Drosophila melanogaster: one gene and its partner. The protein of the gene in region 2 interacts with the protein of the main gene of each other region in a pairwise test. Each region holds a gene or a part of one and is shown on either strand. Other genes may lie near its edges. The genes, in order: Boh2 and Boh1.

What was found.
Region 1: the proteins of Boh1 (region 2) and Boh2 interact in a two-hybrid assay, tested with the Drosophila melanogaster proteins (2 studies listed by BioGRID).

What each region holds. Positions count from the first base shown.
Region 1 is NT_033779.5:11,177,411-11,181,213, reverse strand, and holds Boh2 (buddy of Hmr 2), read right to left. Parts: upstream 2,183-3,803; 5' UTR 1,983-2,182; coding exon 1,224-1,982; 3' UTR 784-1,223; downstream 1-783.
Region 2 is NT_033777.3:27,917,647-27,921,283, reverse strand, and holds Boh1 (buddy of Hmr 1), read left to right. Parts: upstream 1-1,823; 5' UTR 1,824-2,000; coding exon 2,001-3,026; 3' UTR 3,027-3,100; downstream 3,101-3,637. Other genes in the region: CG12259 (uncharacterized protein), read left to right, coding at 290-1,369; mRpS22 (mitochondrial ribosomal protein S22), read right to left, coding at 3,101-3,637.

The DNA of each region.
Region 1 (3,803 bases), on a different chromosome or scaffold from region 2:
AGTGAATATTTGGATGAATGAATATTTAAAATTTAACAAATTTTATTTTGAACAAATAATTCCTTTAATTAACTTGATTTAAAGATCTCCTTCGCTGGAGTAATTTCGTCTGTTTATGCTACATACCCCGTCCATTCACGGACATCCATGGGGACACCTTTCATGTGGCAGCAGGGATCGGGTTTGGGATAATTTGATGGCCGACTCCGGACAGTCCCTGCATTTGCAAGCAATAAAAATTAATTTACGTTCGATTGCAAGGTTTTCGCGCTCGAAACGAGAGTGAACCCGCCGCCGCCGCCGCCTCCGTTGATGACACATAAAATGCCACGTTTACGGCTCCTTAAGACGCGACTCGGTCTCTTCACTTTCTGCCAACATAAAAAATGTTAAGTTCGAAAAATGGCGATTTTTTTTTTAAGGAGAGCAGGAGGCATGTGGCACGCCATCGCAACGTTTCAAAGTGGCGCACTACTTGCCTAAAACAGAGAGTAAATCGGCGCAGTTGGCCATTTGGATTTGATGCCCCTTCACCTTGCCAGTCCCCCGTCTCGTGGGCTTGGCGATCAGAGTACCTTTCCAGGAATCGGAAACTGGGCTCGTCCGCACTCCGCCTGTTCCTCTGGACAGGTCTGCGCTGCGGCACTTCCAGCTTGAACCTGAGTGCTTTGATGTTTGGCCCGTTTGGCTGCCAGAAACTAATATCCTTTGCGAAACTGATATGATTTCGGCATGGAACGGGTTTTAGGATCATTCGTACTTATATAATGACAAAAGCTTATTGGGTTCATTAGATTTATTTATTCAATTTTTTATCTTATTTTTCCGATAGATTTTTATTAAACATATTTCAATTCAACTTTGGTAATGATTATCATTGCTAAACAGAACTGCATTGGTGATGATGAAGTATTCTTCCTTTAAACATTAACCAATTTTGTATTTTTCCAGTCTTAATTGTTTGAAAACATCTATGTAATTTATATAGCAGATCATAAGTTGATAACGATCTAAAATGATTATGAGCTAAGCAATCCCACTTCTCATAAGTTTTTTATTGAATAACTTTAGATTTATGTGGATATACATTTAGGAAACACACAATATTGTTATACTAAATTTATTGGCCTAGATTAACTATATTTAGGGTAGGTCGCTGTAGTAGTTGACCCAAGCGTTTTTGGCTTAACTAAAGTATTCCTCCGCAAAGGGAAGTCGGTCATCTAGCGGCGACTATTCTCCTCCAAGCGCGCCACCGTACGTCGCAACTCGACAAGCTCCGCCTGAAGGCGATCCACGGAGTCAGCTTGAACTGCACTGACAGCTGGGAGAGGGCCTGAAGGAACTGGAGCTGGAGCTGAAGGATTCACCGCCAAGGGTGGAACGGCGCGTCTAAATGGTACTGCACCCTCTACGCTGGCGATGGAGAAGTTCGGATGGATTTGAGGAGTAGTCACATGGCCAGTGGCCGCTGGAGTGCCCGCAGACGTTGAGACGCTGGCCACTGGCCGTGATAGTATTAGCGATGAAATATAGCCCGATGGCGGAGTTCCCTTATGGTTGGTTAAAAACTTTTGTAGCTTGGACGCAGCACTGTCACGTTGCGATTCCAGCAGCAGACGCATGGCCTCCTGGTCGCCGGATCTGGCCTTCTCCAGCGAGTCGGAGCCCTCGTCGATGATCACATAGTTGATGACATGGGCATGGGTGCCCGGCTTTATTCGGTATACTAGCTGTCCACCATCACTAATTTTCGAGAGCGCCGGAATGTCGCCCATATGGGCCATTTCGCCGCCCACTTGAAAGATCGATGTGTGCCCATTGACTACCAGTGGCTTGGGCATTATGTACGGCGCGGACACGAACTGGGAGCACTTCCTCTTCGTCTTCTCCACCACAGTGGCCACTTTGCATCCGGTGGTGTTGCAGGTGCGCAATGGAAGCAGCGCATCCCCGCCAGAAGCCGGATTTGTTTGCTGCATTGTCTTGGCTATACGACAGTTCTCACGGCAGCTGATTGTGAATTGCCTGCTCCTCTGCAAATCGGCCAACGCTTTTCGATCACGCACAAACTTATTTTTTATTTATTTTTCTCGTTTTAGTGGTTTAAAAAACGTTTTTAATGTTAAAAACTCAGCGTTGTCTTTTTTTTTTGTAGTGTGAACCACGCGTTAGGGAATCACAGGTTTCCCGAAGATACCACGAAAAATACCATAAAATACCAGAGTGCCGTTGCGCATGTTGATAGACCGATAAGCGTAAAGCGGGAAATTCGAAAATTCTTTGGCGATTGCAAGAAAGCAAAAAATGCTTTTAGATATTTCTGGCTATTACTTATTAAATATTAGTTGTTAGAACATAAATGCTAGTATAGCTTAGCTTGTAAAAGTAATTAAGATTTAAGTTGAACATATACAACGCATTTCTATTTTTGCCTTGCAATCTAAAAAATCGCTCAATTACTAACTTATTATTTGTATATGTTTTATGTCTATAGTTGTCTGAACAAACATTAATTAAAACTATATTTGAAGCTTGCGACCATAATAGCTAATGAAGACAATTAAGAATGGGGCCCTTCTTAACACATTAAGTTCTCGCAGAGTGAGATAATAAATAATTTGCATACATAATCGAGGTGAGAGCATTCAGGTGTCTGGGAAATGGCGCGTGGGTGCAACGACCACCGCGCTGACCTCGAAACGGGGCAAATGGAGCTGGACGACGGATCGGATGATGGGTGGAGTAGAATGGAGTTGCACCCGCTTCATTTACATTCCAAGTACTTTAAGAGCGAACGCTGGTCGTTAAAAGATGCTGCTCGGATCGGACATTGAGCAGCGGGTTTTAGTACTGAAACAGCGAACGGACCGGACTGGACTGGACTGGACCGGGCTGGACAGTTCCAGCCGCCAGCTTCTTTAATTTCCACTCGTCAATCATCCATCTCGGCGAACTCAGAGTTGCAGCCTCATTGTTGGCTCAAATGAAATAATTACTTTAGCACACAGCGACTGACTGACTCCGTCTGGAAATGGATTGGAATGGGCCAACTCGGACCACGCCAGGCCAGGCCAGGCCCTTCGTGCATCTGCATCCTTAGTCATGGCCAATATATCGACTCGCATTAACCACGACAACAACTGCAGTCGGCAGAAAGGCAGTGCAATAAAATCCTCCAACACGTTTCGTCCCGAGTCCGGGAATAATAAGAAATGAAATGCCATTTATTAAGCATTAATAAGTGCAGGCGTCCACGTCCATCCGCCATCCTCGATCTCCATCTCCATCGCGCCCAAATGCGCAAGATGCACTCCCATCTGACTCAGCATGCGATGCCTGTGGGCATCCCATCAGCTCTCCTGCCCCTCATCCATCCAATGGTCACATGGTTGGTCCTATGCTCACATGCAGACTCCATTTTGGCCATAAAGTTTAACTCAGGGGGTGGTAGAATTCAGATCAAACCAGGTCTATCAATTCTTCTATCAAATCTTTATAAATGTGGGCCATCCTTTAGAGCTTCTCTGACTCCGTAATCCTTGCTGGTTAGAACTAGTTGCCTACTTGTAAAACAACAAAAGTTTCCATTTTTCAGAGCTCATTAATTTTTAATCTATGGGCTGTAGTCTGTCAACATATTAACAAAATGGGCAAATTAGTTGCATTTAATATCTACAAAATAGCCTTTCAAGTTATGCATTTGCGAATAAATATAACAATATTAAAACATATTGTTGCTAAAGTTTTTACTCTTTGATAGCCGTGACTAATCAGAATTCAAGACGGGTACCTGGGGCCTT
Region 2 (3,637 bases):
TAAAAATCTAAGATTTATCTTTATTTTTCAAAATCGTTGCAGAGAAATAGTGATCCTCTTCTTTTTGCTCTTATATCAGGGGAATGGACAGCTAGTAAATTTTAAATAATTTCAAGATTAAATATTTTATTATTTCAAATTGGTAAGGTAGTGTTTTGTGCTGTAAATTTTTTATACGAAGAATGGCATTTTTCAATGTTTCTGCTACGGTCACACCAATTGGATGTTTACAAATTTCGTTTACGAATTAAATAAAAAAAAATATAAATAAATACAGAAACAACTAAGGATGGCCCACTACAAAGGTGCCGCCAGCGAGGCGGGCCGTGCAGCCCAGCTGATGAAGAAGCGGGAGATCCAGCAGCAGGAGATCGAGTTTCGCAAGAAGAAGATCGAGGAGGAGCTCAAGCTGGACAAGATTGAGAACAAGTTTGCCACCCACTACGATGCCGTGGAGCAGCAGCTCAAGTCCTCGACCATTGGTCTGGTCACCCTCGACGAGATGAAGGCCAAGCAGGAGGATATAGTGCGGGAACGGGAGAAGAAGCTCGCCCAGAAGAAGGACGAAAAGGATCGGGAGAAGCAGCGCGCCCTGGAGGCCATTCAGGCGGAGAAGAACAAGCAGAAGCGGCAGATCCAGGCGCTGTCCTTCAACCTGGACGACGACGAGGAGGAGGAGGAGGAGGACGACGAGGATCACGATAAGAAACAGCTGAAGATTAAGCAGGAGGATCAGCCCAAGCCCAAGTGGACGGAGATCAAGGAAGACATTTTGCCCATAAAGAAGAAGAAGATATGCAAGAATCCTGACGTGGACACTTCCTTTCTGCCAGATCGCGAGCGCGAGGAGCAGGAGAACAGACTGCGCGAGCAGCTGCGTCAAGAATGGGTAATGCAGCAGGCGGAGCTGAAGGACGAGGACATCTCCATCACGTTCAGCTACTGGGATGGCTCCGGCCATCGGCGGAACGTGCTGATGAAGAAGGGCAACTCCATCTACCAGTTTCTGCAGAAGTGCCTGGAGCTGCTGCGCAAGGAGTTCATCGAACTGAAGACCGTAATGGCCGACCAGCTGATGTACGTCAAGGAGGATCTGATCCTGCCGCACCACTATTCCTTCTACGACTTTATCGTGACCAAGGCACGCGGCAAATCCGGCCCGCTCTTCCAGTTCGACGTCCACGACGATGTGCGCATGATAAGCGACGCCTCCGTGGAGAAGGAGGAGTCCCATGCCGGAAAGGTACTCCTCCGCTCCTGGTACGAGCGCAACAAGCACATCTTCCCAGCCAGCCGATGGGAGCCCTACGATCCCACCAAGTCCTACGACAAGTACACCATCAAGGACAAGGATAAGAGTAAAAAGTAGTGCTTAGGGCAGTTTCTGCCCGAATAATTGTACAATATAATAATGATTGATTTAATACATCAAAACAAACGAAAAATAACTACAATTTTTATTTGATTTTTCCACCAGATTTACAATCAGTTTAATTAAACTATTATAATAGGCATTGAATGAAATATAAAATATATAACAAATTTATGTTTGCTTAATACAATTTTGAATTCATTAGAAAATGTCATACTTCTCATAAGAATACCCCTAATTATTTAAAATGGCACTGTTAAGAGAACTTGTTGCTAAACAAATTTGGTAGAAATTTTAGTTTATAAACACAGTATAATCAGAGAACATGCAGTTATTCAGCACTTCGTATTGATTGCCATGAAAAAAGAACTGTTAGATTTATATTTTATTTTAATTTTTTAATATTCCAACTGTCATAATAGTCAAAAGAAGTCGGATATGGCGGGAAAAAAGCTAGCCCGCCAGCACCAATAGCAACATTGAATTTTTTGCGCCAGTAAAATTCGCGTCTTTTTATAAAAAGCAAGCGTAATTAATAACAAAAATAAAATAAGTTCCAAGTAAAATGTGAATTCATTTTTCGGATACGTATCGATTTAGTGCCATTTGAGAACCCCGAACCAACGAAATGTACCCGGCGCAACCGGCAAAGGTGGCGTTGGCCGGTCAACCGATATCCGCCGGAAAACCACCACGCCACAGCCCTGTTCAGATGAAGTCTATCCCTTTGCCCGTCTTCGAGCTGCCGGAATACGTGTGCGTGGAGACCAAGTGGGTGACACGCAAGTACGCGATAGAGAATGGCATTCCAGTGAAAGAACTGCATGCCCCGATCACCAATGGAGGCGCTACAGAGTCTCCCAAGAAATCCGTACAGCAGAAGAGACTCAACGAGGTCACTGGAATGTTTGCGAACGAGGCTATGGTGCCGCGCAGAGAGCGCGCCATTCAAACAGAGAATGCGGGCACTAAGGATGCGGGCATTCAATGCCGTCGCGATTCGGAGGAGTGGTATTTACCAGAGGAACGGCCAAAGGATACCGGTTCTGAGGCCTCCAATTCCGACAAATTTCTCACCTACGTGAGCGAGAACACATTCATATTTCCCAACGGCATGATGGAGTGCGCGGTGTGCGGCGATGTGGCCAAAACCTTGCTGGAGCACCAGAGCCACATGACCGCGCACTATGGACCTGGTGCTCTGTGCTTTCGCTGTGGTCAGCGTCTGGACCACCAGAAACAATTGAAGCAACACAGTCTGAGCTGTCCCGCTCTAGCGCCCAGGAAGTCATCGATGCTCTTTAAATGCCCACATCTACTCTGCAACGCCATGAGCCACTCAGAGATGCAGTTGCTCAGGCACCTGAGAAACCATAGCGGCAGGAAGTGCTACAGATGTCTTCAGTGCAAACGTTACTTCAAGACCACCACCTCTCTTTTGGTACACCGAAAAAAAGAACAGAGTTGTGCCAAGGCGAAAGTGGTCGTCCTATTTCGCGAACACAACGGGTTGCCCAATGGAAGAGGTGATCCCAGACGTTGCTCAGTTTGCTTGAAGCGTTTCAGCAGCGAGCGGGTATGCCTGCGGCACCGGAGACAGTGCATCCTTGGCCATTTTAGACGGCTGTCCAGGGTCCTCAAGAAGGAGCTATGAACAGCGTATAGAAATCTTGACCTAGCTGGTATTTATTAGTACATAGAAATCGATAACAATAAAGCGAATAGATCCTACGAAGCCTGGACGCCGTGAGCCTTTTTCAGTCCCTGGAACAGCATCAGTTTCTCCCGGTTAACTTCCTTAAGCGTCTGCACCGCCAGCTCCAGTTGCACCTTCTTCAGCGCATGTTCGCTGGCGATGTACTGCTCAATGAACTTCAGGCTGATCTCATCGGCGGCGAAATCGTGCTCCGTCTTGCCAATGGCCGTATGGATCTCCTGCTCAATGTTCTGCTTATTGTCATGTCGTCGGAAGACGCTTCTTAGCTCCGCCAGGGCACTTTCCGCCGGCGTGGCATGCAGTTTGCCCAGTTCGGTCAGCGTTGCCTGATACTCCACTGGGATGTTGTGTAGCTTGTAGCTCAGAGCAATCAGCTCCACGGCATTGTGCAGATAATCCCGACGGATCATGTCATACAGCAGGTCGTCGATGCAGCGGTGCCAAGCGTAGAAGAAGGCCATGGGTCCAAAGTGGCGGGTGGAGCGCAGAAGATCGAACTCCTTGGACTCGTTGAGATGCTCGAACACACGCGCTGAAATGTTGTGGAA